2 linked regions of the Tamandua tetradactyla genome follow. The protein of the gene in region 2 purifies or fractionates together with the protein of the main gene of each other region. This does not show direct contact. Links are inferred from orthologs where the notes say so. Each region holds a gene or a part of one and is shown on either strand. Other genes may lie near its edges.

Region 1 (11,485 bases), on a different chromosome or scaffold from region 2:
CACCCCCCTCTTCACACTCTCCTGGCCCTATTCTTCTCCCCTAAGATCGGGACCCACATCTGTTCTGATACTCACTCTTGTTCAATCTGAGCCACAGGGCACTTGTACTGGGCGGTGCTGAAGAGGCAGATGTCAGCATACTGTCTCACTGCGTGACGGGGGGGAAGCAGCTTTGGATGTGGCAAACTATTGCTCCACCACAGTTCCAGAGCACATGTCCCGGGCCCCAACCCAACACCACCCCGATCCCTCTGACACACAGCCCTCCCCGTAGCAGTAAACTCTGGGGGGCCCCCTATAACATTCTGGAACAGTCTAAACTCCTTCAGCCCTGGTGGGTATGTCTTTGGGCTGAGATCACACCAGAAGCCACTTCTAAGTATTTCCCTCCCCCGAGACCCTCCCAACCCCCACCTCCTACCAGAGACTTTGATCTTCTTGATGGTCTTGGTGGAGTTGTTGGTGACGTGGACGTTGACATTAAGGGGCTCCCCATGGTAGTACAGCTTTTGAGGAGGAGGAGGGGTGAGTTAATTTGGTCTCTTTTTCACGCGTCCAATTACTAATTTGCCCCAATGTGTATCCATTATTCTGCTTCCTCCTCTAACTCCAAGCCTATGGTGACTCTCCACACCCAGCCAGAGGCCATTGTTGACGTGTGGTTTCACCCCTTCCCCCACGGTGTGGCACCTGTGTCACCCTCTCATGCCCCACCTCCTTGTCCAGGGAAGCCTCGAGGTGAAGGGACCGGTCGGACATGAGGAAGTGGCGTGTGGTTTCAGCTGAAGGCTGGGGACCGGGTTTCTCTGGGGCAAACTGCACCTTTCGGATCACCAGTCGCACAGAGTTCCTGAGGGGATGAGGGGAGTGGGTGGGGGATGGGAGTGGTCAGTTTCCAGACCCCCAAATACCTGCCCCCACAGGGGCCTGAGGCTCACGGAAGTGGGAGGGAATGGTTACTTCACAGAGATCACAGAGGGGATTGCTTCCCTCACCTTTTGTGGCTTTTTTCTTCTAGTGATTTGGCACAGAAGGCTCGAATCTCAAAGTCTACCCCACAGGCCTTGGGAAAGGGAGAAAGAACCACATTACACAAGGCCCGCTGGCCACCACCAACACCCCTTCCTTCCTCTCTCGCCTGGGGCAGGAACTCTTGCCCCATCATGGTCTGGGGAGGTAGGAAGTGAGTCTTCTTCCTCTGCCTCCCCAAGGCCTGGAACCTAGCAGAGGCTTGTTCCTGGCAGTGCAAGGTGAGCCTGTTTCCAGGTACATGCAGATCAAGAAAGCAGGGGGCAGTGTCACAGGTGGGCAGTGACTGTACCATACACCCAACCTGCACTCAGGATACTTCCCTACTCCTGGTTTCCCCATGGGCCACCTCCCTCTCAGGTGTGCTCCCAGGCTCCTGCCGAGCTATGCCCTGCCCTACTACCCCCAAAGCTGTTCCTCTCTCACCTTTCCTGTGTCCTCAGGTCCTGGCTGCAGTGTGACGGAGCAAGGCAGATTCTGGGGTATCTGTGGCAGAGGGAAGGGGAGGCTTCAGTCCTTCCAGAAAGTCCCCAAATCTTCCTCCCAATCTCAATTCAAGAGGCTGGATAAAGGCCTCCTGGAGATAAGAGAGGAAGAAGGAAGGGGACCCAGGGAGGAGGCAACAAGGCAAGGGCTTTCTGAGTACAGGGACCTTGAAGGGAGGTGGACCTGGGGTCCCTGCCTCACTGTTCATCCAGAACTGCCCATGACAGGTGCCCCACCCTCCAAACAAGTCCCAGATCGCTTGCCCTGCAGAAAGTGGGGGTATCCTCACTGTGAAAAAAAAGGGGTGAGCATGCTGTCCCAGCTTCCTCAGCAGCCGCTCCTGCAGGCGGGTAGGGGGCCGGGGTGGGTTGGGCATCGGGGGGAAGGCCTGGTAGGTGGCGATGAACAGGTCTTTGCGGAAGGACAAGCCCAGCACATCCAGGTCTTCACGGCCATAGCGGAAGGCGCAGGTGAGGGTCACAAACACTGGTAAGGGAGGGCAAGGTGGGGTGGTCAGGAGCCTCCTTCCCCAGTTCCCCTTGGACCTAGCAGCAGCTGCTCCTTCCTCAAAGCATAACCTCTGCCTGAATCCTACTCCTCACTCCCACCTCAGCCCTCCATCTCTCTGGGGCACCCTCTCAAGGCCAGCCCATCTCACCTCCCCGCCTTCCTACCTCCCTTTGGGCCCTCGGACTTGGGGTCAGTACCTTTACGGTCCTTCAGGTAGTCAGGGTCCACCAGCACCACGCCATCTAAGGAAGTGACACATGGGTTCATTTCTTGTCAGGGCCTCTCCCCCATTTCTGGGCCCAGGAACTTCATCCCTTCCTGGGGAAGGAGCTGTCACTTTCTGGGAAAACTTACCTACAGGATCCACTTTGTCCAGGTGATCTACAAAGTCCCGTTTGCCCAAGTACACGGTGAGCTAAAGGTGTAGAGGGGTCATAGGGGAGGTTGGGTAGGAGGGTGACGGGGTCTCAGAATCCTCAAGTGACTGCCCTGACCTGGGTCTTCCCTGGCTCGGATATTAGGAAGGAATTTCTCCTCTTTAACTCCCAGCGGCGCTGGAAGGGCTGGGTGGTGAGGTTTCCTAGACTGCCCATTCTTTAGGCTTTTCAGCTGTTCCCTATCCTCTTTTCAATCCTCTGCTCACCAGTCAGGTGTGTGTTTGGGTCCTTGGGGAGGCCTCAGCCCTAAGGAGCAGCTATGGGCCTCAATCACTCCCCTCAAGGGGCTCTGAGATAAACAGACCATAGCCTGGGAGCTGTTAACTTTTCCCAGCCCCAGGTATCGGGGTTGGCTCCTAAGAGGGCTGCAGGCACGGGGCTTCTGGGCCCATCCCCTTTGGCCTTGCTTAGAGACTCAGGCCTCTCCCCACCCACCCCTGCAGCAAGCTCAGGCTGAGCAGCCTCTGTGGCAAGGGGCTTCAGGAGGGAAGGAAGTTGGCTCTTAGCTGTCACAGGAAGTGGGGAGCTAGGGGTTGGGGACCATCTAGGGGCAGGCTGGGCTTTGTTAGGGCCTGGGGAGTGTTAAGGGGATAAACGCTGTGGGAGACTCACCTTGCAGTTAGGGCTCGACTTCTTGAAGACCCTAACAAAACAGAAAGGGAAACCCCACTGCCTCCCTTAGACTCAGCAGGGACCCCTGCCCACACCAGGACCTCAAACCTCCCCAGCCAGAAGCAGCTCTTACCCAGGATTCCTGTCTGGATGCTTTGAGGCTTTGCCCAGTCCTTCCCCCTCCCACTTCTTCCCAGAAGGAAAGGCAACCAGAGCTTCTTAATATTTCTAACACAGCAGCCACTTGCAGCTGGTTGTCATGGCAAATCCCCCTTTTATCCTTGGCCCACCCTCACTAGCCTCCCTCCCCTAATGGTAATGGCTTCTGGTTGCCACAGGAACTACCCCAGAGGACCTAAAGAGGAGACCTGGATGGGCAGGTAGCAGCAGTGTCTGTGTATGGCCTAACCATCTTCCATCTGCTCTGGTCCATGCCTGCTTAGCGAAGGGACAGAGGTCCCAACCTCAGAGACAGCTGGAGTACTTGGAAGATCAATGGCTTTAGCTTTCACCCCTAAAATGGTTTCTATCACAGGAACTACCCAAGTCTGACCAACTCCAATAACCTCCAGCGATCCCCATCTCTGATCTCAACACCTTAAAAGCCAATTCATCTTTCAAGATCCAGCTCAGATGCCAATTTTGGGAAGGAGACCCAGCCCAGACCCCAGATCACTTCTTTTGGGGTTTCTGTTATACCTTGTTTATGTCTGAACTGTGGAGTGATGGCACACCAACGGTAGCCAGCTGTGTCATCCGACTATCTCCTTAGACAGACTGTGCTCATCAAGGCCTTACTCAGTGTACCCCCGCCCCCGCCCCCCACACAATGTGGTGAAGATGGTGCTACCAGATGATACCCATGGGGTGACTGCTCCATGCTTGTACTGTTCGAGGGTTTCATGTGTGTTATCTCATTTAATACCCTTAACAAGCCAGTGAGGGAGGTCCCAATATCCCCGTTTTACAGGTGAGGAACCCGAGACATAGGCCTAGTGTTTTTTTTGTCTAAGGTGTCTCAGAGTGTAAATGGTGGAACTCAGATACAAACAGAGATAGTCTGGCTGTGAGTCGATGCTCTTAATCAAACTACTGTACTCTCCTGCTTCTGTAAGTGGTAGCAACAGTTTGTTGGATTGGAGGAGATTTGCTTTCCTGTTGCTGAAGCAATCTGAGCCTTGACTCCATCCCCTGCTGGGAAGGTAGGGAAGTGTCTAGGGACTCCAGTGCTCTGGTCACTTGTGGGCCTGTTCTTTGCTGCACCACCTTACTCCTCCCAATCCACTCACCTTTACCAGTGATCCCTGGAAAGAGCCTCCAGAGAGTAGAAACTGAAATCCTGCCAGTTGGCCCATCCCTTTCCATTCCCACTGCCCCAATTTCTGTTGTAACATCATTTGCCCCTTCTTCCCCAGAAGGCCAAGCTGTCCCAAGGCCATAAGGTAAAGGGTACAGATGCCTCCTGGTACCCTTAATCAATCAAGGAGAATAAAGCATCCCACTTCTTGCCCCGACTTGGGAACTGATTGCAATGGTATCATCTAGGCTTTCCCACCTCTTTGACCTCAGTTACCTCTGAGTTCCCTCTTTGTCTCAATGTTTCCTCCTATTAGGAACCCTGGCAGAGGGTTGTAACAGCCACAGTCAATTGGCCAAGTGAAGTGTGGCTCTGGGGCAATTGCCATTTGGATCTTAATCCAGCTACCTCCTGCCATGCTAGGTAGAAACCATGTGTGTAAACTGAGGTTAGCCAAGGAGGTGGGGTGAGGGGGTGACCAGGGAGGTGCTCAGTGAGGGTGGGGGTGGGGCAAGAGATGCCCCCTCACACTTCCTGCCATTCTCTCCACTTCGTGTGGCCTAGAATTTGATGGGGGTGGGGGAAACTGCCAAGTCAGCAGTCCTACTTTAGTCCATCTATCCCCCTCCCTGAACTACACAACGGAAATTGGGGGCCTCCTTCAAGTCAGGGACTTCCGCTTTCTCTGGGGTGTCCTCCAGTCCTCCCTCTCCAATACTGGGCGACTTGGCGCTTAGAAACTGGGGTTCTCATACTCCCTGGGTGGGGCGTGCTGGGGCTGATATAACATTTTGCAGAAGTGATAGCTCAGGACCAGGTCCTGATCCCCTCTGAGTTGAGGCATAAGGTTGCAACCTTTTACTCTTTGCTCCTGCTTCCCAGGGACTAAGCATCTACCCCTTTCCCCCTTAGGGGTGTTGGGTCACAACAGGAAGTGCATTTTGCTAGAAGCCAAAAAAGAGAACTCGGGGTGTCAGTGGAAGGAAGGAGCCTCGATTGCACCGAAAACATCCGGGGAGTAGATGTTATGCCCAGGGCAGATACTACCCTCTCCCACCCCCGCCCGATACCCAGAGTGTGGGAGGAGTTGGGCCCAGAATCGGGGAGGGTCGCCATGAACTCTCTTTCCCCAAGATGAAGGTGTTACTGTTAGCAACCTGGGGGAAGGCAGAAGTTTGGAAGCGGAGCGACCCAGTCCTCGGGACAGATGGGGGCAGTACAACTGCTTATGGGATACTGGACGGGAGGCTTTCCACTGGCTCGACATTAGTTTTGGGGCTTCCTATCCCGACGTCCAGCCACTCCATACACATCCCTTTGGGGCCACCTGCTCTTACCCCGCCCTTGCATCGCAGCCTGCACGGAGAACCCAGGCGTCCGGCCCCCACATCCCTACAAGAACCCAGACGCCGGTTTCCTGGTCCCCTTCAGCCCTCGCTTCCTAAAGGGGCCCGGGCATGCGCCCCCATTATCCGCGAGGACCTAGGTGTGCGGCCCTGGATGGCTGCCCCCTAGGGACCCAGGAGTCCGGCCCCCCGGATTCTCTCCCCTGTGTCCTTGTCTGGGGACCATCCCAGCACCAGCCGCGAGCCGCCGCCCATGCCCTGCGGCGTGGCCCCACCTCCCTACCTGGTCCCGGGTTTCTCCCCCATGGTGCGCGCGCCCGCCGTCAGACGCCCCGCCGGGTTCGCCGCTCGCTCGCAGCCTCTTCGCCCGCAGCCAGGTCCCTACTCCTCCCCGCGCCAGTGCGCACGCGCGTCCTCCGCTCTTTCTCCTCTCCCTCCTCCCGGTCCGCCCTCCCCGCCCCCGCCCTCGGATCCTGGGGAACCGGGGCCAGATGCGTCAACCCGGATCGCGCGCGCCGCGGCGCTGCCCGCCCTTCCCTCCCAAACACGCGGTGATTGGCTCCGCCCTCACCCTCTCCGCCCTCACCCTCTCCGCCCTCCAGCCCCGCGAAGAAGCTCTCCCGGCGTGCGCGGTTCCTACCGCGGCTCTTCCTGCCCATTTCCCCGCCCCGCTACATTCCCTTAGAAGCTAATTGGGTTCTCTTAATCAAAGGTTCCCGCCTTCCAGGAGAATGGAGGACTCTGATTGGCTTCCGGCATGCAGGACCTTGCAGGGGTCACCTCCCCTTTGTTTGCTTTCTCTGTGGCGGTGGAGGCGTTGGGGGCGTTGGGGGCGGTGGGGGCGGTGGGATGAGCCTAAGCACATTCTGGGAAGGAGGATGAGGGGGATTCACACGTGGGTGAGCGATTGCAGTTGCGTGATATTTCCTTTTCTGCGCGCTGCTCACCGGCTCACCCCAGAGTGAGCAGCCTTATTCGGCCCTTCATCCTGCTTTATTGTGGTGCCTCAGCTCCCCCTGGTGTCTATCTTTGCTCTTCGCAGAATTCTTTTTCCTAATTTCTCCTCCATCCACCCTGGATCCACCCTCCTTTCCATCCATCCTATTTTGTGCCAGTCCTTACGCTAGGCGATAGGGACACAGACGTGAATTAATGAATTAACATGGTCCCTGCCTTCCGAAGGGTCGAGGGAGACATAAATAGGTATTAAGAGACCAAGAATACTATAATAGAGGTATGACTCAGAAGACAAAGTGTTCTTGGGAGGGGTTGAGTGGGCTGTCCAGAGGAGGGGACATTTGAGGACAATCTTGAAGGATGGGCAGAAGCTGGGAAAAGGTATTCCAAAAGGAAGGGGGGAGGACAAAAGATACTTCCTGTTTTGAAGTGTTTGTGGGGTAGAGGGCAGGAGAGATGGGGTTGGAGAGGAGCACGGGAACAGGCTGTGGAGGATTTTGTATAGCCAGCAAAGGAATGAGGCTAAAGCTGTTCTTTCAGGACACCAGTGGTGGCTTTTTTCTTTTCTTTTTTTTAACTTTTATTGAGAAAACCAAACAACATACAAACACGAACATTCTTAACATATAAACATTCCATACTTGGTGTGCAATCAATGGCTCACAATATCATCACAGTTGTATATTCATCACCATGATCATTTCTTAGAACAATTTAATGAGTTGCGGCTTTTTAAAGCAAGGGTATGGCATGATGAAATTTCTTTAGGAAGACAGATCTGGGCAATGTGGAAGGTGGAGGTAATGGGGCAAGACTGGGACAAGGTAAAGGAGTTTAGCTGTATGTAAATTAGTCAAGGGAGATGATGAAGTCTTACAATGGGAGGGGAGAAGAGGGACCAGACTGAAGAGTCATTTCTGGGGTAAAATTGACTGGACTTGGACTTGGGAAAGGATGATGGATGACTGGAATTTCTGGACTTATGTAGGGAAGGTATTTCTCCTTCTTCTATCTCTTGTCTTATACTCCCCTGTACACCTAAACAAACTACTTCCACACGTCTCCCTCTTCTTCTCCATGCAACCAAAAAAGTAATGTGTGTGACCCGACAATTTCTGATCTTTAAAGTTCAAACACAGGCTTTGCCACCAATATTTCCCTCCACCACCCATCACCCAATTTCCTCACCACCTTCTAAGCTTGTTCTTCATCCCTGTTTTAGTTTCCTATACTGCTCAAGCAAATACCATGAAATGAGTTGGCTTACAATGGGAATTTATTAGCTTACAGTTTGAGGCCACCAAAATGTCCAAATCAAGGTATCATCAAGGAAATGCTTTCTTTGCGAAGACTGGCTGCAGAGATCCTTGGCTTCTCTGCCACATGGCAAGGCACATGGTAGTTCTACTGGTCTTTCCCTTCTCTTCCTAGTTTTGTTGATGTCAATTTCTTACTTCTGTGGCTTTCTCTATCTTGGTCTGCATTTCATTCTTATATAAAAGACTACAGCAATAGGATTAAGATCCATCCTGAATGAGGTGGGTCACACCTTAACTGAAGTAACCTCATCAAAAAGTCTTACTTACAGTGGGTTTACATCCACAGGAATGGATTAAATTTAAGAATATATTTTTCTGGAATACATTAGGCTTCAAACCACCACAACCTCTTTCAAGCTTTATGCTTTTTTGGCTTGTGGATGAATTTGATCTAAATTTGACTTTGGACAAAAGGTTATGGACAAAGGGTTTATGAGATCTGTATTGCTACATATCTGAAGTACCACTGGTACAGAAAGGCAGTGGTGCGCTTGACATGAAAGCTACCATATTAAAAGATAGTAATGTATCCCCCTCTCTACGTGGGACATACATCCCAGGGGTGTAAACCTTCCTGGCAACGTGGGACAGAAATCCTAGAATGAGCTGCTACTCAGCACCAAGGGATTGAGAAAACCTTCTAGACCAAAAGGGGGAAGAGAGAAATAAGACAAAATAAAGTGTCAATGGCTGAGAGATTTCAAACAGAGTTGAGAGGTTGTCCTGGAGGTTATTCTTATGCATTATATAGATATCACCTTGTTAGTTAAGGTGTAATGGAGAGGCTGGAGGGAAGTGCCTGAAAATGTAGAGCTGTGTTCCAGTAGCCATGTTTCTTGAAGATGATTATATAATGATTTTAGCTTTCACAATGTGACTGTGTGATTGTTAAAACCTTGTGTCTGATCTTTTATCTACCTTATGGACAGATGAGTAAAACATAGGGATTAAAAATAAATATATAATGGGGGAACAACTGTTAAAATAAATTTAGTAGATTGAAATGCTAGTGATCAGGGAAAGAGAGTGATAAGAGGTATAGGAAAAAAATAGGGGAAACAAAGGCTAAAATATATTGGGTAGATGGGAATACTAGCAATCAATGAGAGGGAGGGGTAAGGGGTATGATATGTATAAGCTTTTTTCTTTTTATTTCTATTTCTGAATTGATGCAAATGTTCTAAGAAATGATCATGGTGATGAATATACAACTATGTGATGATATTGTGAGTTATTGATTATATACCAAGAATGGAATGATCATATGGTAAGAGTGTTCATTTTTGTATGCTGTCATGTTAAAAAAAAAAAGGTAGTAATATATCCTGGGTGGGAAAAATCAATGTTAAAACGATGTCATTTCTTCCTAAATTGTCTATAAATTTAATGCCCCATCAATCAGAACAACAATGGGATTCTCTGGGGGAGGGGGTGTTGACAAGTTGATTCTAAATGTAATCAAAAGAACCCAATTTCAAGTATAGCTAGAGAAATTCTAAAAAATAAAGAGTGAACAAAGAGTGAAGTAGATACTTGCCTTCCCAGTAAAGATAATTTTTCGTAAGTTACAATAATGAAAACTGTGTTATTGGTGCCATAGAACAGTGAAACTGAATATAGAGTCCAGAAAAAGACCCATGTAGTAGCATTTCAAATCAGTGAGAGAAAGGATGCATATTAACTAAATAGTGTTGACAACTGACTATCCATTTGGGAAAAAAAAAACTCTATTTCACATCTTAAATAAAATAAATTCCAAATGAATTTAAGTTTTAAATGCACAGAGTAAAACTATGAAAATATTATAAGAAACTACATGGAATAGTTTTATAATTGTGGGAGTAGGGGCAGGCCTTCCAGAATATCAAACTCCAGGACTATAAATAATAATAGTTAAGACTTCATAGCATTTACTCTGTGCCAAATATTTTCCAAGCACTTTAAGAATATTGACTCATTTAATTTCACAGCCCTATGTATTAAGAGGCCATATTTATCCTCATTTTACAGAGGAAGAAATGGAGGCAGTTATGTAACTTGCTGGGTTGCACAACTACTAAGAAGAAAACTGGTGTATGAACCCAGCAGTATAGGTCCAGAGTCTGTGCCTTTAATCATAACACCTTACTTCAAAGAGTCTAAGAGATTTAAAAACAGCATAAGTAAAATAAAAAGACAAACTGGAAGAAAACGCTTGCAACCCATATAACAGACAAGAGTAATTTCCCACATGTATAAAGAGTACCTACAAATTTATATGATAAAGACAAGCCATTGGGAAAGTAGGTAAAGAATATGCAAAGATAATTAATACAAAATAAATACAAATGTCTACTAAACATATGAAAAGTTACTCCATTTCACTAATTGGGGAAAACAAGTTAAAAGAAGGAGTTATTATTTTTCACCATTCTGATTAAGAAATAAAAAGACAAATAATTAGCATTGGGAAGGGGATAAAGTTCAGAGCACTATCCTACATAGTTGCAACATAGCTAGAGGACATTTTGGGAGTTTCTATCGAAATAAAAAATAGGTGTTCTCTCTTACCTAACATTCATTCATTCATTCAACAAATACTTATTGAGCACCTTTTATGTGCCAGGCATTGTTCTAGGTGATGGGAATAAAATAATGAAGGCAGGATCCCTTTCACGGAATTTATTTACACCACTCTGGTTGCTGTGTAGAAAAGGGACTACAGAGGGCCAAGAGCTGTGAAGAAGCTACTGTAAGAGGGAGAATGGTGGCTTGGATTAGAGTAGTACTAGATATGGAGAAATGTAGAAAAATGAAAACCTAATAGGATGTATTTTGACTGCAGAAGTGCTGTCATACAAGACAATAAGGGAAGATAAACAGAACTCTTAGACTCGAATATTATAATCACAAAGATACACCAAGATAGAGGCATTAGAACCTTCACTACATTGTATGTGTTAATGAAAAATTGGAGCTGTCGCAAGAATTCAGCAATAGCGGAATTGTTAAATAAATCGCGATGTCCCCATTTCATATTGTAACATGGAGTTAAAAAAAACAACGTGGAGGCCCACGATACATATCGAGTAAAGAAACCCAAATGCAGATGTCACTCTTTGTAAAACTATGTACATACGTATTTGTGCACAGAATGATATTAGGAAAGTATACACATTACTGGAGAAGAGAAGGAATTTGGGAGGAGAGGGACTTCTCTTACGCCGTTCTGTATGGATTGAATGTTTCTGCAAGACGAGTGTATTGTATCATTTTTGTAGCTGTAAGTGTGGTTAGTAATGTCTGTGATTCCAGACAAGGGGGCCAGTTCCTTAGAGAGAAATTACTGACTCCTAAACCGTATATGTAGTGAGGCTCTGTTGGTTTAAGGGAAATCTTTCGGATTCTGGCGCCTTTTGTCCTGACCACGTGTTCCCCAAACACCATCGGACCGCCTCAGACCGCCCCCAGCCCGACCCACTAGTCACCTTTTACACGCTTTTTACTAAACTT
Region 2 (11,847 bases):
TGATATCTCATTCATAACCAGAAGGTATATTTAAAAATTAAGAAATTGTTTTCTATGTAAACAAAAATAATAACATAATACACAGAAGATATGACAACTCTTCTATAGAGTTATGACTGCTATTGGGCGAAGCACAAGGAGCCCTGGGAACTCAGGAGGAGGAGCTGAGAAGACGTCCACTGAGGTACCCCTGCCCTTTCTCTGATACCTGAGTGCCCATCACAGTGCCCCACAGCTAACACGTATACTTCCAAAATAACAGGAAGGTCAGCAACTCTTAAAGTAGCCCAAGGCCACACAGAAGAGGGGTCCTCCAGCTGCCCTCTCTGAAATTTCTCTAGCAGTACTTCTGGAAATGAGGTCTTCTTTCCATCTTTATCAGAAACACAGGGAGCCTGTAGAAAGGTAGCTGCTAGACCCTGTCAGAGGGGTGGCTGTATGTACACCATACACAGATGGCTTGTAAGGGTCCACTAGATCCCCAGCACCTAATACCAGGCCAGGAGTTAGGAAGAGTTCAAATAAATACCAGAATAGACACAATGCGGGATTTCCCTAAAAGGCCATATCCTTTTAGTGTTCACTAAAGAAGCTGGAGGTGGCCTCTCTTTTGGAACAAGCCAACCCCACCCCAGAGCCTGTTCCTAAAAAAGGTGCAGGGCCTTGGGCTGAGCCCCCACTAATCCCAACGTGAGGGGGCCTGACCAGGAGGCCCAGGTCCCAGCAGTGCCCAGCACACAGGGCTCTTACTTATCCTGGCTTTGGAGGTTTCAGCTTCTGCCTCCTCCTCCTCCTCCTCTTCCGAGCTCTCCGAGCTGCTAATGGGGTCCGAAACACGCGCCTTCTTGGCCTGCAGTGCCGCATCATCTTCTGCCTTCCGCTTCCGGCCAATCTCTGAGGTTCTGCAGGGCAAGGGTGATTGATTGTACCAACTGGGTGAAATGATAACTCCAGGGGATTTGAAAAGGAAGACCTTCCCACATCCTCCCACCCTCAAAGGAAACAAGCACAGAGAGTTTAAGCAGTGATGAAAACACTGTAGATACAATTTTGTATTCTGTATTTTCACTCATTTCATAAAGTGGGTTTGAAATCCTCTATTAGTCTTCGAGAGAATCATGAATGGTTGATAATGTTATATAACAGCAGCAGCAGCCAGCAGCCACCGAGCCACGTGTGCTGGGCCCATGTGGACACTTTACAACACCAATAGGCTCCTGTCTCCTCCAGGACTTGCTCCTCAGGGTGGGCTCCCTTCCTGGAAGACCCAGGCCCTTCTCTCCTGGAAATCTCAACTCCAGTGCCGCTGCCTCAGCAAGGTGCTCCCCAGCGAACTCACTCTCTACCAAGTCGTTCTCTCCTGTCTCCTGGCTTCATTTTCTGCAGAGCACTTCTCTCTCTCAGGTTTTTTTATTTACTTCCTGCCTGACTTCCCACAGTAAAGGCTGGGCTGCGATGGAGGGAGGAGGGTTGGCAGGAAACTTTGCCGGCTCACCATACTATCCTCAGTGCCTAGCACAAGTCTCAGAGAATGAATGACTCAGTGACTTGCTCAGGGTTAAGAATAAGTTTGGGACATCGGAGGGATAAGGCTCCAGATCACTCAGTCCTCTAAACCTTCAAATATTATCTCCTTTGAATACCCACCCCTACCCCCTGCAGCCAAGGGAGCCGCTGTCTATGCCTGGTGATTTCTGGCTGGGATGGACACTGCCTTCATTCTGCAGCTGAAGACACAGACTCAGAGAGGCCATGAAACTTGCCTAAGGCCATCCTGCTAGCTGCTGGGTTTGAACTTTGTCAGGAACCACTAGGCTAGGCTGCCTCTGGTGGGTACGCGATTCTGGGCCTACTCAGTACTTCTCCCCCATAGAAAGGGTTAGTGGCACAGAAAGGTGTATGGTATAGCTCACTGAAGCTGTGCTCTGGGGAAGGAAGTGCTATGAATAACACCCAAACACCTGAGAAAGTTGAAAGGCTGAGGAAGAGGAAGTACATGCCCTGGGCTCTGAGCTTGACTTAGCAGCAGAGGAGAGCCAAGAACCTGAGGGCTGGCAGGTTTTTTGATGCCCACTGGAGGCCCAAATTCCCTCCACACCATTCATGCCATTGCTTACACACCTCCGATGATAGGGGAGCTTACCACTCCTACTGCAGCATAACTCATTTTTGGACAGCAATGATGATCAAATGTTTATATTTAAAAGTTGAAACCTATCTTTCTAAAACTAGTCTTCCCCAATCTATCCAGAGATCTTGGTTTCAACTCCCAATATTCCTGGAATCTACTGTCCACCCTCTCCACCTCCTGTCATCCCTGCCTCAAGTCCTGTCAGGTCTTGCTGAGATGATCTCCACAGCCCCCGACTGGGCTCTCCAAACTGCAGCAGAGTGATGAGCTGATCTCATCACCTGCTTCACCCTTCCAGGGTTCTTGCTGCTTACTTCTTTTCACATGAAGACCAGGCTTTGCAGGGGCGGGCCCTGTCAACCCCTCAACCTCATCTGTATGTCCCCCAGGCACGGGGATTGGAAGTTCTAAGCACACACTCCTGCCTGTTTACACCGATTGCCTAGTTCACTCTACTTCTTTCAGCTCTCAAGTCACATGTCACCTCAGGGAAGTTGCCCCTGGACTCCCAAACGAGGGCAGGCTAACCTGTTTATGTAGTTTGGGCACCGGGTACTTCTCTTTTGTAACCCTTACTACCACTGTAATTTAACATTTATTTGTTTCATTTTCTGACTCATGCTCACCTCCCTGATTACAATGCCATTCAGGTCTGTTACATTCAGCACAATATCTTTATAATTAGAACAGGAGGACCTGGCATTCAGTAAGCGCTCAATAAATGTATGTTGACTGAACAAATGACAAACTGCTGAGTTTTTGTCTTTACAAGATCACAGCTTTCAATGTCCCTTCCTATACCTAGAAATATCCAGACATGTGACCTGGCTTCCTGGAGGTAGCTACGGTGTTCCAGTGGGAAATGGGGACACATCTTAGACCAGATAAATTTCTTGGCTTATTCTAAGCCAATTTCTTGGGATGTCCCTGCTCCACCCTTTTAGCACCATCAGACTCACTGTTGCCAGTGTGTATAGATGTCCAGAAGGGTAACAGGCTGAGCCAGGAAAATTTTCTGCAGAGAAAAAGAGAGCAGCAATTAACCCCCCAGCACAGGAAGCTCCTGCTCTGGGCCCAACTCTCCCCAACCTCATGACCGGCAAGGATAGCTGGTTAAAAAGGGGGTCTTTTTGCTTTGGGAAACATACCTGGTTAGCCCTGTCAGCACCATTCAAAACCTTCCAGAGACAAACAGGACAAGCAATTTCAGCTAAAACCTTCTAAGACAAATGTTGGTAAGAGATACCTTTGAATTTTGCAATGTTCCAGGTTAGCATTCACCCAACTCCCAGACACTCTCCATCTCAGAGGCCAGGAGATGAGGCTTTTTCTACTTTGACCTTTCAAAGGGCCTTCAAAGGCCTGGCAGGTCAATCTCTCTCAGGCAGTATGAACCATAATCCAGACACCCAAGGTATCTAGGAGGCACAACCACAGTCCACTTGTCTGCTGGGAAGAAGCTGTGCCCAAATGTTGTCAGTGCCTTGGTGGTAGGGGAAGAAACCGGGTGGAATCCAAGCCTTCAGTGCCAAGGCCAGTGGCCCTATGCTCTCTGCTAATATCAAGAACCTGGGGTTTCAGCCCCAAGGAGTCTGAGTGAACAATGTGGGAGGAGGACAGAGGTTCACAGACCTGGGCAGAATGGCCCCAAAAGGGAGTCAGGCAGAGCTGGAGTCAGCATCTGGAGTCAGCATCTGGAGTCAGGCAGAGCTGGGTTTGAGGTGGAATCCCTGAGTATCCCTGGGCTAATCTCTACACCTCAAACTTCAGGTTCCTTCCATAACACAGGGAACACCAAGTGTCAGCCTCACTCTGTTCTGTCCCAGGCACACTGGCCTCCTCATTGCCCCAATTTCCCCACCTCCCATTCCCACTGGCATCTTGCTGTTGCTTCTGTCTAGCATGCTCTCGTCACTGCTAGCTGCGTCACGTACATCCTCATTTCCTTTAGGTCTCTGCCCAAAGGTCACCTTCTCAGTTTGGCTTCCCTGATTACTTTATTTGCAGTCGTACCCCTGACATTCTTTATCTCCCTTGCCTGCTTTATTTTTATAGCTAGCATGTACCATCACCTGACACACCATGTGCAATCTAATAGAACGTACCTTCTATGAGGGCAGGACACTTTTGCCTGGGTATATACCCCAATGAAGATAGACACTGGTGACTTGCATCCTAGCTATTAAGTGATCTAACAGGAGTCAGAGGCATAGCCATGGCTCAGGGAAGGTTGGAAAAAACATCAATAACATCCCCAGGACCCATCACTCTTTGACAGTTCGGGAGGACCTGAGAGCAAGCATTAGGATCAGTTCTACACCTCAGCAAAAGGGAACCTGCCTAACTCCCACCACTCACCAGTTTAAAATCCTCCAACTGCCTCCCACTACTCTTAGGTAAGGACGAAAGTAACCACAGGACCCACTCATGCCAACTCGTTGCTCCCTTTCCTGTCCCTACAGGGACCTCTATTGCCCTCATCCCCAGCCACAGAGGATTTTCTGGAGACCAGTGCTTACAAAACAAGCTCCCTCCTACCACAGGGCATTTGCATCTCTTCCTAGAATATCCACATCCCTTCCTTCGGATCTTGACAGTCACTTCCTCATGGAAGCAAATTTCAGATAGTCCTTGTGACTTGGACAATTTGCCATACCATATCTTAGCACCCTATGGCTCTCCTTCTTAGCACTTAATGTAGTACATTTATAGAGACTTTTAATACTTTGGTTTATGTATTCCCTACTAGACTGCAAGCTCCAGGTGGGCTGGGAGCCGTCCTCACCATTCTATCATCAGCAACATGAAGCCAGATTAACAGTTATTAAATGAATGAATGATGTAAGAAATGACTCCCCCACGAGTTCTAACCTCAAAGCTGTCCAATTCAGTAAAGAAGAATCGCTAGGGGCTTGAGTTTCAATTCAGTAAAAGGCCGAGGGCTCCTTCTTGGCTCCTCCGGAGGCTGGTCGCCCCTCAGACCCATCACAACCTACTCGGCCCGGGGCGGGGGTGGGGTGGGGTGGGGTGGGGGTGGGAAGCGCCGAACCACGTGGCCAGAGACTAAAGAAACTTTAAACTGCCGCTCCCAGGAAGGGGGTGGAGGTGAGGGGCAGACTAAAGAAACTTTAAACTGCCGCTCCCAGGAAGGGGGTGGAGGTGAGGGGCGCGGGAATTACAAAAGCCCAGGGAATCCTATCACATGTCTTGGCCCGCCCACTACAATGATGGGGAAACTAAGGCCCAGAGGGATTGGGAACCACAGGATAGGCAGAGGCTGCGGCTCCTTCGGCGCCCCGGCCCACCACCTCGAGCCCGGCGGAATCCAGCTCCTGGGGCCCGCCCGGCAGTCCGGGGAGGGGGTGTGGGCCGCTGCTCTCCGGATCTAGCACGCGGCCCTCGCACGCTCACCTGCCCACTCTGCTCCTTCACTTCCCGCGCCGCGCGCACATAGCCCGCGTGCAGCAGATGCTGGTAGATCAAGGGAAGCAGCTCCCGCCGCTTTCTGGCTTCGGCCATGCCCACGACCCCCGGCCAGTCGGCTCACCTGCACGCCCCCCCCAAGTCCCCGCCCGCCACTTCCCTCGTGCCCTTAGACCTCGCGCGTCCCACTTCCGGCCCCTCCTTCGTCCGGGTCCCTTGGCGCGCCGGGAAATGTAGTCTTTTTAACTTTGCGTGGCTGTCCCCACCCCAGCGGGTGAAGGGGGCGGAGACTCAGAGGGCAATAAGACCTCCCATAGGAGGGGAGGGCGGGGATTGAACTAGCCCCGCCTCCTGCACGGCCATCCTATGAGTGTCTCCCGCCGCGGAATCCCTTTGAGTCGCTACTTGAAAGAACTTGTCTTCTGTTTTCCGAACGCTGTGATCGAGGTTTAGTCATCTCTGAGTTCGACTAGTAGGCATTTCCTCCTAGAGCCGAACTTCCTGTTGTCCATGCCTTTATTCATTTTACGCATTTTTCAGGACTTTTGAACTAAGCACTACTTGTCATTAGTTCATTCATTCACTGATTGAACAAATTGAACAAGGTAACTTGGGTTAGCACCGGGTTCAGCAGGGGGGATAAAATGACGAGTAAGAAGTAGCGGCTGCCCTGAACGCTCACAAGGGAGAGACAAGCAGTCGATATCCAAACAACTATAGTTAAATTCCTTTTGTATGCAGCGTATGGGAGTAGGGAGGAGGGGCGCTTAACCCTAAAGAGACACAGATTAAAGATAGAACACAGATTTATAAATGCAGAGGAGAGATCTGACACCCCACACTGAAGGCATCACATGAGTGCCTACAATCCTGGTGTAGACTGGGGAAACATTGTTATGCTGCTGGCCTGTACTGGGGGGAAGAAGGACAGAGTGAGGACACGTAAGGCTCGAGAAAGGTCCGTAAGGTCCCCATGTAGAGGCAGAACGCTGCTCCAAGGACAATGGACCCTTGTTTGGCTAGTTTTATGCAGGAGAGTGACATGGTTTGTTTTTTAAAAAATATCGCTCTGAACAAAGCATGGAGGATGGATTTGTGAGGTATAAAACAACATGTGACACTGCTATAGTTCAAGGGAGTTTGGCAGGGGAAGGATGAGCTAGCCTGGGGTTAAGTCATTTGTTCTTAATCTCATGGGTCCCGTTGAGAATTCTATGGAAGCGTGAACTACCCAGCCCTTGCTCTAGAAAATTTTGAATCTGTACAGATACATGACATTTTCCACCTATTTCAGCACTCAAATAGGCACATACCTATGTCTTCTAGGATTAGGAACCTCTGCTTCAGGAAGAAACACGGACAGGACAAGATGGTTGATTGGATGTGGTATGTAAGGAATAGGGAGGAAACTAATCTACAGTCAATCAGTTAGCAAATTTTTGTGGACCCCCTACTATTGTGGATAAAAAAGTTCTCTATGCCTATAGAGCTTACAGGTTAATGGGGGAGACACACACTAAACAAATAATCAGTCAGATACGCTGTTGACTTGTGAGGAGTAAATGAGTTCTAAGCAGAAATGCTTAGAAGAGTTCCTAACAACAACAAAAAAAGTGCTGTGTATGTATGTGTTATTATTGTGAAAGCATTCAACAAGAATGCTTGGGGGTTAGAGAAGCATACCCTGAGGACATGATATTAGTGAAGAAATCTGTACTATGTCTAGAGGATAGGGGAAGTGGGAGAAGAATCTCGGACAGAGGGAAGAACCTGTGCAAAGGGCCTGAGGCAAAAAGTACTGCTGAGAGAGAATGAAAGGTAAGCCTTTGGAAAAGGACCCAGAGGGAAAGCACAGGGCTTGCGGAATGCAGAAGGTGGCAGAGGACAGATTCCACATCAAGGATGTTTCTCTTCATCCAAACAGCTATTGGAGGCCATTGATGGTATAAGCCAAAGAAGGTTAGGATGGAATTTGAGTTTTAATGTGACCAGTGTGAATGTCCATGGAGAGGGGAGTAGTGGGTGTGTGAGTAGATGTGAGACCTGTTGGGGTTAGGGTTACAGTCAGGCATCCAGGGGGAGTGTATAATAGTGGCTGCAGTAGGGGAGTGGTAGTGGAGTTAGAGGATGATAGAAGATTCCTGGAGTTATTCAAGAAATAAAATAATCATAGAGATGGGCTGGAATGGGAGAGTGAGGGAAAGGTGATGTTAGGATGGACTCTGTGTTGTCTGTGCAAATACGTGGACTGTAACTTTCACTAATATAGGAAAAATGGAAGGGGCTTGTAGTGGGAGGGTTGAATGAGGAGGGGAGGTAGTAGAGATGGAGGTGAGAAGTTAAGTTCTACTTTAGACATGTTGAGCTTGAAATGCCTTTGAGATACCAAGTGCAGATGTTGATTAGGCACTTGGAAACATGAGTTTGGACTCAGCATAGAGATCTGGACTAGATATGAATATGAGAAATTGTCAACAGAGAGATGATAATTGAGTCTGTGGATGAGGACAAGATGGCCCAAGTTGAAGAACATAGAGAGAGGAGAGAAGGTGGTCCAGGATGGAGCTTTGAGGCAACGTGCAGGGCAGTGAAAAGGAAGTTATGCCTGCAAAGATAGAAAAGGAGCAGCTAGAGAAGTGGGAGAAAACCCAGGAGAGTGGGCTTATAGAAGGAAGAGGAGGAAAGAGTTTCAGAAAAGTGGGACGAGACAACAGTGAGACTGCTCAGAGAGGGCAAACAGGATAAGCATGAAAAAGGGTCTCATTTTAATGTCGAGCATGGAGATTGTTGGTGACATCAGGGAATGAGATTTCTAGAGTGATTGGATAGAGTCACATGGCAGTGGCCAGTCTGATGGGTGAAGGAGAGGTGAGAGAGACAGCGGGTCTTTTGGGAAGTTTTGTGTGAATAGAAGTGAGAGCAAGGTGTTATGGTCAATGTGTGTGTTGGGGGAGGGGACATTGTGCTTTAAGACGAGTTTGTTTAAAGGCTGATAGAAGATCAAGGGGGGAGGGATTAATTAGGACTGTAAGGAATAGAGGAAATAATCATCAAATATAATGTTCATGAGCAAGTAACAGGGGATGGAATCAGGCGTGTAGGTGGAGGGGCTGGATCGGAGAGGAGGAGGGATGTATTCTCTAGAACCAAAAGAGGGAACAAAGAGAGGATGGGTGCAGATGTAGATGTAGGTTTGTGGTGGGATGCTAAGGGAGATTTCATCTTGAGCATCTATTTTTTTCTGCAAAGTGGGAGGCAAGGTCTTCTGCTGAGAATGAAGAAGAGGTGGTGAGGAGTTTGAAGGAAGAAGAATGATCATTCAGATAGTTGAGGAGAAGCTTGCACACAAAAGTCCCTGAGAGTGTTGACAACCCAGTTGAGAGTGGTGGTCATTAATTTATGTGTGCTTGTCCTGTCCTGCTGAGCCATTTTCTCCAGCAGGGCGCAGCTGCCCAGACACAGGCAGGTGGAAGGAACTCAGTGGGGTTTATCCAGGCCCTGATGGGTGGGGAGAGAGACATAGGGCTCTAGAGAGATACTAAAAGAAATGCCAAATCGCTGGGTTCTGGAATCTAGTCTGGGTAGGAAGTGAAATGAAGGCAGATGGGTCAATTTTCAGGGACACCATGAAGGCCTCCGAGGAACCCCTAGGAGGTACAGAACCGGAAATCTGGTTCAGGAGAACAGAGACAGCTTGTAGCTTGAATTAGTGATGACACCCAGCTTTCTGCTTGGGTGGCTGGACGAGCTACTCACAGAGATGGTAAAGGGGGTCATAGAGCATACAAACTATTGTAATAGCTAAGGTTTTTTTTCACACACCCCCCCAAGAACCAGTTTTTACCTCCCCGTTGAGAATGCCTGCCTTAGTAGAATGTAAGCTCCCTGAAGGCAGACTCATGGCTGTCTTGTTGGCTGCATTATCTCCAGCCCCTAGCACAGTGCCTGCACGCAGAAATTGCTCAGTAAATATTGGCTGCATGAATGACTGGACTGTGATAGACAGAAGAGAGGGGGACAGAACAGGCAGGGCACTCACTGTGAGCATAGCCCTGGAAGCAGGACCATGGAAGGCCTCTGGAAAAGGAGAAGGAACTGGGTCATGTGTCCTTGGCTGACCTTGGTAGAAATGGAGAACTGGTATTAATTTAAAAGCAAAAGCAAAAGCAAAAAAAAATGAAAAACGGGATGGTCTATTACCTTCTGTCTGGTAACAGGTTGTTTGCTTTTGTTTTCTTCCTAATAAAATTCGTTCTCAGCACTTACGCTTTGTCCCCGGCTCCTGGGAGGCTGCATCTTATGCGGACAATTTCTTTATCTCCTTGATTTTCCAAATCATACCCTTCACTGAATTGCCTCGGGGCCCAAGCACAAAATTAAAACATTAAACTGATAAAATATAACATGGCAACAATTAAGACAACAGCAAACAAAACAGTACATTAAAAAAAAAAAAGCCTCAGAGCATTTCTCTTGCATTTAGGAAAAGAAGTCTTTGTTAGCCATACAAGCCAGAAACTTCCAGACCACTTGACTGTGAGCACCTCACGGGCAAGCAGCGTGCCTCAGTCATCCTGCATTCCCGTGCAGGGCCCAGTGAGGGAAACGTTAGTGCAGGAAGGCTGGCAGAAGGGAAAGGGAGCTAAACAAGTGGGGCATTGTCCTCTTCTCCTTCCAGCAGGGATGTATCCTGCCCGGAAGTAGGAGATGGTGTTCCATGGGGGAGAGACCACTAGGCCGGGATCTGGGAAAGTGCATTGGGCCTGGTTCTGCTGGGTGGCCTTGGGTCAGTCTCTGGCTCTTGCTCATCTTAGCATTTCCTACTGTCAAAGGAAGGGGTCAGTCAAGGACCCCTCCAGCATTGGGACACTCAAGAGAGGGTCTCGTGTGGGAAGACTGCCCTTGCCCCCAGGACTCAAAGATAGTCCACTGTATCTGGTGTAAGAGCCTGTTTTCTCTTGGCTGAGTCACTTTGGTCAATAGGCTTCCCACGGCTTTCTTTCCTCTCATGGGATGATAGTATCTCTCTTTTTTCATTCCTCAATCTCACCGGAATTTTTAAAAGTGTACACAAGTATACGCACCTGAAATAACAAATTAAACAATGCAGAGATTCATAGACAAAGCCGGTCATCTTTCCCTCCCTCTTGTCCATTCCCAGTCCTCCCAACCCCACCTGGGCCCCTCCTCATCCTATTTCAGCTGCCTGCTGTTAGACTCCCCACATCCTTGGCCCTCTGCCCCCACAAGGGTTTAGTCCTTCCCTGCCCTTACCCTTTTCATTTCTTCTTCTCTCTCTCCCTTCTTTTTTTTTTTAACAAAAGAGAGTTCATCCAAAACATACAACTCTGCAAGTCACTTTTTTATGTTTTATTACGTATCAGAACATTTCTTTAGACACCCTTTTGAGTAATAGTAGCAACTCACATTTACAGAAGGCTTAAATGAGTGGCTCTAAAAAACACTCACCAGTTTAACTCGCACCCTACCCTAGGAGGCCTGTGAAATGGTTATCAGCCTCAAGGCCTGGGGCAGCCAGTCTGTTTCCTGGACTGGCAACCAAATGTGAGTACTCGCTGTCCTGGGAACATCTCACTCCCTTTCGTGCCATTTGAACAGAACTGCATTTTTCCTCTTTGAAGTTTGATTGTTTTCTATTCATCTTTCAAAGCCAAGTGAAAATGCCGCCTCTTCAAGGCTGCCTTCCCTGATTGCCTCCAGCTGAGTCATCTCTGATCTGCAATAAGGGCCCCCTCTTCCGGCAACTCCTTCCAGGTGGACATGCATCACAGAAGGACCTGCCAGGAGAGGGCAGCGCACGACCAATGGAAGGGCTCTCAAAAGGTCAAGGACTCCAAGGGGCCTGGACCTGCCAGAGGTCCTTGGGTGTGCACCCCTCCTTCTCCCGTACAGGTGCCTATGAGAATATGGGCTTTAACCCCAGCAGTCTGACTTCTGACAAGTCTTGCCCTTTCCTGGGCCTCAGTTTTTCTGTAAAATGGGAGGGCTGGAGTAGTTCACTGTTTCTGAAAGTGTGGGGCATTCTTTCTGGTGATGCACGAAGTGATTTCAGGAGATGAATAGATGGACATTTTAAGACTGAAATCATTGTGTATTTATTTTAGTGTATATTAGACAAAAAATAGCTAGCACATCAAACCTGTTATTTCACAGATATTATTGCTTAGGATGGGGCTACAGAAGGCTTTCAAGTAAAAAACAGCGAGTCAAGTAAAAGAAAGCACCAATTAAATAAAAGTACAGGTGGTAAGACAGCCGTGAATGGCTGCTGT

The links.
Region 1: the proteins of TCOF1 (region 2) and ARRB2 purify together in Homo sapiens (affinity purification with western blotting; 4 studies listed by BioGRID and IntAct, with this or other methods). This does not show direct contact. The link is inferred for Tamandua tetradactyla from reciprocal best matches to the Homo sapiens genes TCOF1 and ARRB2.

The regions. Positions count from the first base shown.
Region 1 is NC_135332.1:60,670,449-60,681,933, forward strand, and holds the start of ARRB2 (beta-arrestin-2), read right to left. Parts: upstream 6,035-11,485; 5' UTR 6,024-6,034; coding exon of another isoform or gene 6,001-6,023; intron 5,764-6,000; 5' UTR 5,762-5,763; coding exon 5,709-5,761; intron 3,106-5,708; coding exon 3,075-3,105; intron 2,441-3,074; coding exon 2,380-2,440; intron 2,268-2,379; coding exon 2,223-2,267; intron 2,002-2,222; coding exon 1,805-2,001; intron 1,516-1,804; coding exon 1,456-1,515; intron 1,251-1,455; exon of another isoform or gene 1,064-1,250; coding exon 996-1,063; intron 851-995; coding exon 715-850; intron 507-714; coding exon 422-506; intron 149-421; coding exon 76-148; intron 1-75. UniProt on the Homo sapiens protein: Functions in regulating agonist-mediated G-protein coupled receptor (GPCR) signaling by mediating both receptor desensitization and resensitization processes.
Region 2 is NC_135346.1:31,142,699-31,154,545, reverse strand, and holds the start of TCOF1 (treacle protein), read right to left. Parts: upstream 5,708-11,847; 5' UTR 5,651-5,707; coding exon 5,543-5,650; intron 3,147-5,542; coding exon 3,091-3,146; intron 903-3,090; coding exon 751-902; intron 1-750.